4 linked regions of the Saccharomyces cerevisiae S288C genome follow. The protein of the gene in region 2 binds, or shares a complex with, the protein of the main gene of each other region. Each region holds a gene or a part of one and is shown on either strand. Other genes may lie near its edges. The genes, in order: MRPL22, MRPL51, RML2 and MRP35.

Region 1 (3,145 bases), on a different chromosome or scaffold from region 2:
ATCTGCAACTTCATTTCAAATTAGTACCACTTCAGAACTCTCTTCTAGTTGGTTCTCAACAATTTCTTCTCCTTCTACGATATCAAATAAAGATACCACATTCCCAAGTTCCAGTCGGAATACTTCCACATCGTTTTACAGTTCATCGCTTTCATCGACGAACGATTTTTCAACCATAAGCAAATCATCGAAACTCAGTCCATCAGCTTCATCTTCGACAGTTTCCATAAGCACGATTTCCGTGCCAACGTCAAGTTCTGTTAGCTCATCCAGCAGTAAAGTACCTTCAAACCGTCCTTCATCATCATCATCATCAGATGATACAACAAGTGCTTACTCAAGCACGTATACTTTTCAGTCCTTACAATCTACTACTAGCAGCAGTATACCACCCACCACTCAAACACCCAGCACTAGTACGATTTCTACGTCTCCCATACCAACATCCAGTCAGGTCTTCAATACGGTAGCCATTTCAAGCTCCGAAGATTCAAAAACTATTTATTATTTCTATACCCAAACATATGATATTACTGACTCCTCTACAACGTTCGTGACGGGATTACCTACGACCATAGCAGTTGCAAAAAGTGAGGTAACCTCATTTTCCGCTCCATCTTCGACGATCACAGCTGACATGTCTTTCTATCAGCACTGGCTTGATGGCAGTTTGGATAATAACAAAAACCAAGGCACTTCAAAGACAAATACTGGTACCATTGTTGGAAGTGTGGTAGGAAGCGTCGGTGGTATTCTTATATGTGTACTAGTAGTTTGGTTCATGCTGGTTAGAAAAAGGAAGGCAAAGAGGCATTTCAAGGAAAACGATTCCTTCTGTCACGAGATTGGGCGCAGAACGGGATTCCCAACAACTGCCCAAGCAAAAGAGGCGTCACTTCAAGCTCAAGACTCGGGATCACAGCAACGAAACACCGAGACTGCTTCTGCTAATAATCCGTTCAGCAACGAATTCAATTTTAAGGCAAGAGGAAATCCTCCTCCAGTGCCACCACCAAGGAATGTTACCGCAATGAATGGCTCCTTTCAAAATATGCGGAGTAATTTCATGGACCAGGAAAACAGATTTTCCTATGGCTCTTCATTTACATATTCGTCATTGGGTTCATCTACTCAAGGTGGCTTTTCTACTTTATCTTCAAATTCGATACGACTCGGACGTGGTTTAGATAATGACATCTCTCATGATGAGAGAAATACAGTTCAGAACAATTCACAAGGGTTCTTGAGGGAAATTATATGACGATGACTTCAGTCTATTAGTATGATGTTTACTAATTAAGCAAAATCAGCTCTTGCTGAATAACACTACTATTAAAAATCATAAAAACATCTTTATTGCCAATAGTGAAGAACGACAAGGCCTTTTAAAAGGCATAAAAAACAATGATACCATTCTGCAATGAAAAAAAAAGAAAACTTTGTTCTTTGTGTATAAAGAAAATATTTTAGTTCTCCTAAATAAATAAATACTAAATTATACGAAACTCTTTCAGTCTTTTCTCCTGCTTGCTGCTTGAACAGTACTCATGATATTCTATTAATCTTCTGTGGGCGGGGTAACTAAGCCTTCACTGTACTCGGGATTTTGAATAAAAGTCAACTATCCAATCTGGAAGGCATTTTAACATACGCCATTAGGAGCCGCATAGCAAGTCAGAGAACCTCACCTCACCCTATCTTTTTTATTAAAGAAAATGAACTTCCACACGGCAAGAATATCTCAGGTCGGTGTCATTTCTAGGGCTCTACTTTCTTCTGTAAGTAGACGTTGGATTCATGTAACGCCAATAAGTCTTAATAATTCAGGAGGATCACTATTCGGAAGCATTACAGAAAATAAACCAAAGGAAGGAAAAAACAGGGGGGATGAAGATGCAGGCAGCTTCTCTAATAGGTTAGCGATTGCTTCTGATTCTTCTGGAGAGGCTCCTGAAGTTAATAGGGATTCAATAACCATAGAAAACGATAAACTACTACAGCAACATATCATATCGTTGCAGCAACCGGAACAATTAGCATCACAGAGCTTATTATCTCCTTTGAAAAGGGAAATATATGAAGCTAATTGTAAAATTAATGGTGGGTTTTACAAGAAAGATACTATTGTAAAGTTACCAAATTCTAGCGAACGTTACAAGCTAAAGTTAACAAAAAGAGAAATTGAAGTACTAGAACCTTCCGTATATGCTCAGTCATATAGAATTAAATCGTCGATGAAAAAGGCTACACTTTTGTTGAGGTTATTGGGAGGCCTCGACGTTATGAAAGCTATATCTCAGTGTCACTTTTCTAATAAGAAAATTGCTCGCGAAGTAGCAGAACTACTTCAAAAAGGTGTAAAAGATGGCCAAAAATTAGGTTTGAAACCAGAGGACTTATATATCTCTCAGATTTGGACAGGGAGTGACGGGTTTTGGAGAAAACGTGTTGAATTCAAGGCAAGGACAAGAATCGGAATCATAAGTCATCCTTACATACATGTCAGATGTATTCTGAGAACAAAGAGTGTTACGAAACGAAGACTTGCTTATGAAGCACATTTAAAAGAGCAAAAAAGAGCGCCATGGGTACAGTTGGGAGATAAGCCCATTAGGGGTGTTACAGGCGGCGTATACAAGTGGTGAAAACGATAGCGAACTCATTCATATCCGAGAAATCGTCCTGTAAGCTGAGAAAGATGAACTGCTACTCACTTCTTAACCTATATTCACAGTTGTGTTGTACAAAACTTTTCTTTTGATTATATAATATTGTGATTCTGTAAATAACAACTAGTTTCAACGCACTGCTTCAACGTGCACCCTCCTGACTAAACACGGCAATATGCAAGAAACCGCAACAATTAAGTGCACTAGAATAGAAGAAATTATTGTACTTATAGTTTATTTATGTATTTAATAATTAAATCTAAGCTTCAACTGGTTCAGCTTGAGCTTCAGTTTCTTCAGCTGGTCTGTAGTCCTTGACAGATGGAGCAAGAATTGGTTCTTCTTCTTTTGGTTCAATGATGGTGACAGCATCTGGCAAAGCCTTTGGACCAGTTCTGCTCTTAGCTGGGTCTCTCATAATCTTAACCTTGATACCCAAAACACCTTGTCTCATCAAGACGTGTCTAGTAGCAGTG
Region 2 (2,772 bases):
GTGTTCGCCTTTTTTTGTTATTACGTTGTTTCAAGTATTCGGTGTACAATGCATTTGTAAGCGTAGAAACACTATTATCGGCCCCCTTTCTCTTCGCAAGTATACCTCGTATTTCGGGATGAACAGGCTCTCTTTTTATATTCGCAAATTCCTTCTTTACTAATTGATCTATTTCATTTTTGTAACCATCTGGTATTTTCCCTTTATCAACAAAGCTAAGGCCGTCCATCAAATCTAAACGTTGAATACCGTACGGTTGCTCTTTCAGATATCCTAGAAGTTACATCTTTTATATGTTTCAGTCTTATTCCATATTTATTAGACTAGTGTGATTTGCAGGGTGTAAAGCGGGTAACCAAATACAAGAGGTCATATTTCAGGACATGATCATATAACAATGGCAAAATTGACTTTAAATCTTAAATATCAGGAGTCTTATCTGCCCCAAATTATATATACAAGTATAATTATCTCTCTCTATTTCTAGAATTTTCTTATATACTAAAGCTAAATTCTATGCCTTTTCGCAGCATGCAGAGGCGACCATATACCCCTCACACTACTGTTCAAGCTTTCCACGTTATCATTCTTTGTTCTTCTGCGTAAAATGTCTCCATCAGAATCCTTCAATAGCTTTAGCTTGTTTTCTACATTGTCAATGTTCAAGTTTCTCACACAAATAACTTTTTCACGCCCATTTGTGTATTCTGCCCTCAACAAAGGATGTCCAGACTTCCTCATCACTTCAAACTGTATCCATGGGAACTCCTGGCCCCATTTATCTAATCTCTTTGAAGTCAAAAATTTCCTCATGCCTTCCGAAGACCCTCCCCAGTTACAGAATTGCAAAGTAATCTTTCTGCATGGAAACACGAATGCTCCAACTCCATTACGACCTATGGAATTTCGTGCAATAGCTTTCACAACCATTTCTCCATATATTCGTGTCTGTGTATCTACTTAGTCATGGTTTATGATAATCGTATTGATTGATCTTTTTTATCTCAGGGCTTATGATTTGTTGTAATTCTTATGAGCATCCCTCATCCGAAAAAGACGGAAAGCACCGTAACGTATAGTGCGATAAACTTACAGAAAAGAATAGTATTATTTAAGGGAGTTAAATGGAGTTGTTTGATGATATAGGCAGATCAAACTACGCTTTACAGTCCAGTAAACTTAACAACGAAAAATGTGTTTAGTCAAAACTACGGCTCATTTGCTTTTTTATTCCTTTGTGTATGTACAGATTAAGACACAAGAAAAAATTTGAACAATTATGATTAATTGAGAATAACTGACTAACAACTTTTATGTACCAACTTAATCTTTCAGATTTGGAGGAACGACGTTTTATTCCTATGTAGCTTCTCCAATCGCATTCAAAGTTCTTGAAAAAGACCAATTTTCTGCTTTGCAAAATAAGATCTTCCCGTATTTTTTCCAAATGCAAGCGGCATCACCTGTCATCCTGGCCCTTACCGCTCCAATTGCCTTGACAACAGGACCATTATCTTCTTTGGTGGTTGCATCTGTCAGTGGGCTAACCAATTTGTTTTGGTTGTTGCCCTGGACCCATAAAGTTAAAGAACAAAGAAAGAATATTGCGAAGAAATACACGGGTAGTGAATTGGAAGCAAAGGATGCTATATTACGTAAAGAATTTGGCAAGTCGCACGGATTGAGTCTTTTGTTCAATCTTTCTAATGTTTGCGGGATGCTTGCGTACGGTGTTTGTTTGTCAGGTGGTTTGTTAAGAAAAATTCCAAAATAATTATTTTACAAGTAAATATATATATGCAAGATCATTTTTTCGTCATTCCTTTGCCAAGGTGGAGATGAAGTTCGCAATCGGAATTTTTTGACCCTCAATTAAAGAATAAGGGACTCAGTTCTCTGCTATCCTGATCTTGGCTAAAAATAACTAAAAGGGGAATTGTGCTGTTTGTAGGATCTTAAAATAAAAGAGAACAATATTTATCTTGAAGTTTTTTCTATTTTTTTATTTCTACAAGCTTTTCTTATATATAGACCTAGCAATCCTATATTATTAAGCCGGAAAATCGTAACGAATAAAAACGAATAAAGGAGATACTAGAAAGGGCCTACTTTTTAGCAATTTGAGCTTCTAAATAATTTTTTAATTCCTGTGCGAAAACTTGAGATCTCAATTTATCAATTTCACTTTCATCAACAACAAGATTCAATAAATCTTTGTATTGCTTTTCTAATTCAACTTCATTCTCTTTATGTAAAAAATCGTAATCACCTGTATCGAGATCCAAATCCACCAAATCACCATCTCCAAGTCCAAAAGATCCAGAGCTGGATGGCATAACCAAGGAGTTTATGTCACTCCAATTCTTTTGAAGTATGCCAGCAGCGTGTTTGTTATTTTGTTTAGTACCTTGTTTAACCTTCAAATCTAACAACTTCTTATAGATTTTTCTCGCACCAATCTTTTTATTAAGAACATTATTAACTTGAACTTTCAAAAGTTTGACATCAATATCGATATCATCTCTACAAATTAACTTATTGAAGTCGATCCTTTCACTCGGTCCTCCGAATTTACTCTTTTGCAAAAATTTCACTATCGTAGTAATCCAAGTAATAAAACCTTCAAAAATGCCCTCTGAATCGTTCAAATATACATCATGAATAAACTCAAAAAAGGCATCTTGATGTTTGGTTACTAAGTTATGGATTTCTTCCACGACATCGAACTGTGTGGAAACGCCCAACTGACCATTGATAACATCATCAACAAGC
Region 3 (3,594 bases), on a different chromosome or scaffold from region 2:
CTTTTCAAAAATATGTAAGCCATTATTAAAAAAAAGGATATTTTGTATAATTGTTTAATAAAATAACATCTTTTTAAACAATCATAAATAGCACTTCTTATCATACAACCTCAAATCATATCGGTCCAAATTTGCTCAAATTGTACATGAGATATAACTTTTTCTTCTAATGCTTTCATTTCAGAGTTTGTTTTTTTTTTTTCTTTTTTTTTTTTTTCCTTACCGGAGTCTGAATCTCTTACTTCCTTAACTTAGATGTTAGTGACTAAAATCTGATGGACAGTATCAAAATGTAAATATTGTACCTAAAAAGAAAAAAGTATTAAAGTGGTTTGCCATAAATTTTAAACAAGTGAAAAGTTTCAATATTTATATTTACATGATTGTGGACAAGCGGCATTGTCTACAGGCTGTGCAAAATTATATAGTACAGATAAATGTAACCAGAACAACGAAGAAAAGGTCCCTATGTTGCTTCTTTTCTACTAAAATTAGCCTATTTATAATCTTGCATCTTTGCCTCTTGGTCTGTCTTTTACTTTCATTCTATTTTGATTTTTACCCCTTCTAGTCTTGTACCCCTTTGCCAGTTGTCCCCATGGAGACATTGATAATTTATTAGACTTGGATTTACCACGGCCACCACCGTGAGGATGGTCACATTTATTCATGGCAACACCTCTAACAGTGGGTCTTATCCCTAACCATCTTGATCTGCCGGCTTTACCAAGAGATCTGTTTTGATGGTCAATATTGGAGACCACGCCAATGGTAGCGACAGCCTCTAAAGACACATAACGATGTTCACCGCTTTGTAATCTAACAATAGCTTTCTTTTTTTCAGGTAATTTCGCAAGGACTCTGGCATATGTACCAGCAGAGCGACAAAATTTTCCAGGTCCAACGGGTGTTATGCCAACGTTGTGAATAATAGTACCTATGGGGATCATGGAAATAGGTAGACAGTTGCCTCTTTGGGTAGTCTTAACACTCAAGATAGCAGGGTCTACTTTCCCGCCCATTTCATTCAGTAAAGTTTGAGGAATACCTCTTCTGAAGGATTCGACCACATCGCCTGGGCGTAACCCATCACAAGCAATAATATAAGACAATTCGCCGGTAGTATTATGCTTCAATAGGGCGATATGAGAGGATCTACCCGGATCGTACTCAATCCTTTGCACCGTTTGTGCACCACCTTCCCATCTGTTAAAGTCTATCAGCCTCGTTCTATTTCTATGGCCACCACCTTGGTGACGGACAGTGATTTTTCCTGAATTATTTCTACCACCGTGCTTCTTTCGAACAACAGTTAGGGCTCTAACCGGACGACCTTTGTACAAATATGGATAAATGGGGGAACGGTACCATCTCAAACCAGGTGAGACGGGTTTTAGCCTCTTCATCTGGGTCACTTCTTTCGAAAGTTTACGACGTCTTTTAATCAATTCATCCTGCTTCTCAAGAGTCACGATATCAGTATCGTTAGGTATAATCTTTAGTAATCGTGGAGTAATGTTCAAACTGGAGTCATCTTTTGAAGTATTCTCTTGCCACAATTTAACACTCTGAGATAGAGTTCGACAGAGTATACCGTATGGATAACAAGGGTTTCTCTTACTAATAAGCGATGCTGTGGAACTGCACGACAGCGCCGATCTAAGAGACCCTAGCACCAACATCTTTCATAAACACTTAAATTATCTTCTCTGCGTATTTCTGGACTAGTTTACAACGTTCTCTTTTGCTTAGTTAGAACTCGCTTTCAGTTTCCCATACGTTCCCTTTCTCTTTCAATTATAGGTTCAAGCCCTAACTTTCCACCTCGCGTAGTCTTTTTTTTGCATGGAAAATTTTTTTTGAGTATTTAAAGAACAGAGGTTCTATTCAAATTTAACCGTAGAATATACTTATTCATCTTAAATACCAAGCGCTTCAACCTGTACGTGGATGGTAACATATAGATATTTCTATAGAATGTGTTAAGGAACAGGAGTTCCTGACAAACAAAAATAGATCGTACTAATACTTTTTTTTTCGAACTATACTGTTTGCGTATGCTTATAAAGCCAAGAGGGGGATGTTTGTGTATTACTTTCTTTACTTTTTTCTCTTCTGCATTATTGTTCCTTTAGAGATGATAAAGACAACTTACAAGTACAGTTTTTTGTTGGTATCTCATTAACATGATGACTAAGTTGTCGCCCCAAGCGGATCTTTGAAATGACTGATTTTACAAACAACAAACACTGAAAATTCTGAAATTAATGAGATATTTACACATTAAACATCAAAAGTTTTCTCAAGGAACATGTATTTAATGCAAGAAAAGGATTGCTGAAGAAAGGAATCTTTTCTCAAACATTTTACCTCTTTTGCCTCATTTGTACACAGCGGTACGGTTGGATTAAGAAAAATATCCATTCGACCTAGTTTTTTTTGTTAAGCACAATTTGGTTTCAATATCAATTCTTACTGTTATATAAAAAATTGTCTTAATTGCCATTATCACTCCTCTTTTTTTTTTTTTTTGATGATGATTACACTCCATGCTAATCATGAACGTGTTCGATGTAAATTTGAATACGATGATTAAAATTGTTGTTTACGCTTTCTGAAATCTAAACTAGAAAAGAAAAGGAACTATCAAAGAATTAGGCTCTTCGTATTGGAATTAGTTGACAGTTGCTCATGAAATGAATGGATTAAAAAAATAAAGCTGCGCAAGCCCGGAATCGAACCGGGGGCCCAACGATGGCAACGTTGGATTTTACCACTAAACCACTTGCGCTTACTATTTGTTGTTATTCAAAAAATAAAGAACCCACAGAACATAGATTAGAACATAACCTTGGAGTATCAACTTGATTCACAAAATATTATTCGTCGTATATCATGGCATATAGAATCTTGCTGGAATAAGAAGCAAGTTTCATCTTTGATCTTATGTATATAGTATTAATATGTATTATTGTTGGAATAAAGATCAACTATCATCTACTAACTAGTATTTACGTTACTAGTATATTATCATATACGGTGTTAGAAGATGACGCAAATGATGAGAAATAGTCATCTAAATTAGTGGAAGCTGAAACGCAAGGATTGATAATGTAATAGGATCAATGAATATTAACATATAAAATGATGATAATAATATTTATAGAATTGTGTAGAATTGCAGATTCCCTTTTATGGATTCCTAAATCCTCGAGGAGAACTTCTAGTACATTCTACATACCTAATATTATTGCCTTATTAAAAATGGAATCCCAACAATTATCTCAAAATTCACCCACTCTTCAATTATCATATAGGACAGAATTAGTTGACAAAAAGTACGATGGGAAACAGCTATCAAATTTAAAGGAAGCTGAAATGCAAGAATTAATAATGTAATAGGGTAGCGAACGACAAAGTATAAAAGGAAGGAGGATGAAGTTACATAATTATGTAGCACTATCGACTTCCTTTTGGGCATTTCTATAATCTCGAGGAAATCTTCTAGTATATCCTGTATACCTAATATTATTGCCTTCAACACAGACGGAATCCCAACAATTATCTCAAAATTCACCCATTTTTCACTCTCAA
Region 4 (2,521 bases), on a different chromosome or scaffold from region 2:
TGTAAAATGAGGTTAATGACTTTCGACAATGTGCCCTTCGCTATTTCACTGAAAACGAATTATCATTACTTCCCTACTGCAGAATTGAAGAGGGACAACATCACGCACAAATGGATTGAAAAGGAATTTACCGGCAACAGCCAAAGTGAAAAATAGGCCAGATTTGATAAAACATTTATATATGTATGTATGTATGTATACATCAAAGTCTTCCATAAAGAACAGTTTTTTTATAGACTATCACAGGAGCGTTAAGATTTACAAGTTTTTCAATCATTTTGAGGGGTTAGGATTATGATGTCGAGATGGTTGCAAGCGCCTGACGAAATAGTATTTAATTACTTCAACGCTTGAATTCTCTAAGGTATTATCGATTGTATAAATTTATGGTTATTGTTTCATACTTATTTATATACATGAAGACCGAAAGCAAATACTCAAACAATTGATTTGGGGTTAACGGTGCGTTTGGTTTAGAGGAGAACATAATTATTCCACCTTCAATGATAGGGTAATAACCGCTTTAGATGCTTTGAATAAGCTGGATGGGCAATTTTCCTTCCGGTTAAGGCTTTTAATGATCTATGGGACCAGCCTATATTGCCATGTTTTCTTCCAGCTATGCCTCTTTTAAAAGTATTACCGGTACGCCTCCACCTCTTTGCTGTACCTTTATGAGTTTTCATTAAAGTTCTTATTGTTATTGTAGAAACGTTATTGAATAGAAAGCCGTTGAGCTTCACTTTGAAACTATTTGAACCTTTAAGTAGTGGTTTGAGTACATTGAAAACAGACATGTTTTGGTTTTGGTCTCCTCGTTGCCGTTTGTTATGCAAGCTAATTTTCATGATAGATATATATACTATCTTTTTTGTATTTGACCAGATTTTTTTAGGCTCCGCAAATTGGCGAGGGCTTCAAGGTTGAAAAAATTGGTTGTGGTTTATACGCACTGCTAATTATTTACAGAATGAAAGAGAAAAAGAAAAAGATATATATATATATATTAGAACATGCATACGTGTATATTGAAACAAAAATGAAAACAAAAATTTTCAAAGTGAGATGTCAATGTCATTGCTGCTCTTCCTTTGTCATTTAGTCTACTTTGTTACTTAGTTTTTGTCTTCTCCTAAAAGTTTTTAAGTTTATGTTTACTGTTTACATTAAACCCTGTTCGCGTAATTTAGCTAAAGTTTCTTGAATCTTTTTAGCCAATACTGGATCAGACCTAATTCTTTGTTGAACTTTAGCGGCTTCAGCAAAAGTAATGGCTTGTAATTTCTCTTCCATAGTTCTAGCCAAATCAGCGGATTCTTCGAATAATGTAATAGCTTCATCGATATCTTCCTGCTGCAATTTCATTTGAGCTAAACCGATTTTAGCTTGCTCACTTCTTGGGTCTAGTTTGGACGCTTTTTCTAATAAATTCGTGGCTTCAATAAAATTTTCTACTGTTGGATTTCTTGTCAACAAAGTGGCTTTACCGACCAAAGGCGCAATTCCAACATAAATACCATCCAACTTGTTTTCTAATTCAATAGCCAAATCGTACTGCTTCAAAGCCTTGTCAAAATCGTTCTTGTCTGTTAAAATTTCAGCAAAGAAATTTGGAACTTCTGGTGCCTCTGGAAATTTTCTCTTAGCTTCACTAAACAAAGTTTCACAGTCATCAAACTTGTTTTCACGGTACGCTAGACATGCTAATTGAATATAAGGGAAGATATTCTCTGGGTCTAATTCCTTAGCTTTATCAAAATCTTTTCCTGCTTGATCATAGTTTTGTAAAATGAAATTCATTTGGCCGCGGTGATAGTAAACAGAAGAATTGTTTGAGTCCAGTTTCAGCGCTTTATCGAAGTAGTTATAATATTCAGTCGAGTCATTTCTATCAGCCATGATTAATGCCATGTAGATATATGAATTGACTCTTGGGAACAATTCAATAGCTTTCTTGATGTCTTCGTGAGCTCCCAATGGATCGTTTTTCAAGAACTTGAAAATACCTGTGTGTTCTAATGAGATGGCCAATTTTTCCTTTAACTTTTCATCCTCATTGTTCTTGTCCAATTGTTCTTCAAATAACCTTGCAGCTTTCGTGAAAGACTCATCAGCCTTGTCGTAACTTTCGGGAGATCTTTTGTACAAATTACTTAAACCGTTCATTAACTCTTTATCAGCTTCATTGGATTCATCATAATTGGCAAAAGTCAACTCGGGTTTGAAAATACCAAAGAAAGAGGCCATGGATGTAACTGAAGGCAAGTTTTCCTGCTTGTCTTTGCGTTCTTTAGCTGGTTGGGTGGATAATTCAGTTGGAGTAGCAGTAGCGGTGTCAATATCGCCAAACTTTTCTTTCAATTTAGACATAGCTTGCTTATTCAAGTTCCTCTCCAACATTGGTTCAATAGAGGCGTCATTGAAGTCACCATTTAGAGACAATACAGACAAATCGAACATCGCATCCGCAAATTTTCCTAGCCCTTCGTTAGCAGAAGCTCTTCTCAGTAAAACTTTTGAG

What was found.
Region 1: MRPL51 (region 2) and MRPL22 share a complex: the UniProt entries of both Saccharomyces cerevisiae proteins name them as parts of the mitochondrial large ribosomal subunit.
Region 3: MRPL51 (region 2) and RML2 share a complex: the UniProt entries of both Saccharomyces cerevisiae proteins name them as parts of the mitochondrial large ribosomal subunit.
Region 4: MRPL51 (region 2) and MRP35 share a complex: the UniProt entries of both Saccharomyces cerevisiae proteins name them as parts of the mitochondrial large ribosomal subunit.

Annotation. Positions count from the first base shown.
Region 1 is NC_001146.8:303,186-306,330, reverse strand, and holds MRPL22 (mitochondrial 54S ribosomal protein uL22m MRPL22), read left to right. Parts: upstream 1-1,715; coding exon 1,716-2,645; downstream 2,646-3,145. Other genes in the region: TDA7 (Tda7p), read left to right, coding at 1-1,261; 40S ribosomal protein uS3 RPS3, read right to left, coding at 2,929-3,145. UniProt on the Saccharomyces cerevisiae protein: Component of the mitochondrial ribosome (mitoribosome), a dedicated translation machinery responsible for the synthesis of mitochondrial genome-encoded proteins, including at least some of the essential transmembrane subunits of the mitochondrial respiratory chain.
Region 2 is NC_001148.4:727,949-730,720, reverse strand, and holds MRPL51 (mitochondrial 54S ribosomal protein mL43 MRPL51), read right to left. Parts: upstream 931-2,772; coding exon 508-930; downstream 1-507. Other genes in the region: SNT309 (Snt309p), read right to left, coding at 1-229; YPR099C (uncharacterized protein), read left to right, coding at 608-964; TMH18 (Tmh18p), read left to right, coding at 1,193-1,239, 1,336-1,774; LEC1 (Lec1p), read right to left, coding at 2,106-2,772. UniProt on the Saccharomyces cerevisiae protein: Component of the mitochondrial ribosome (mitoribosome), a dedicated translation machinery responsible for the synthesis of mitochondrial genome-encoded proteins, including at least some of the essential transmembrane subunits of the mitochondrial respiratory chain.
Region 3 is NC_001137.3:59,170-62,763, forward strand, and holds RML2 (mitochondrial 54S ribosomal protein uL2m RML2), read right to left. Parts: upstream 1,683-3,594; coding exon 501-1,682; downstream 1-500. UniProt on the Saccharomyces cerevisiae protein: Component of the mitochondrial ribosome (mitoribosome), a dedicated translation machinery responsible for the synthesis of mitochondrial genome-encoded proteins, including at least some of the essential transmembrane subunits of the mitochondrial respiratory chain.
Region 4 is NC_001146.8:397,523-400,043, forward strand, and holds MRP35 (mitochondrial 54S ribosomal protein bL35m MRP35), read right to left. Parts: upstream 849-2,521; coding exon 501-848; downstream 1-500. Other genes in the region: NMA111 (Nma111p), read left to right, coding at 1-156; protein channel TOM70, read right to left, coding at 1,162-2,521. UniProt on the Saccharomyces cerevisiae protein: Component of the mitochondrial ribosome (mitoribosome), a dedicated translation machinery responsible for the synthesis of mitochondrial genome-encoded proteins, including at least some of the essential transmembrane subunits of the mitochondrial respiratory chain.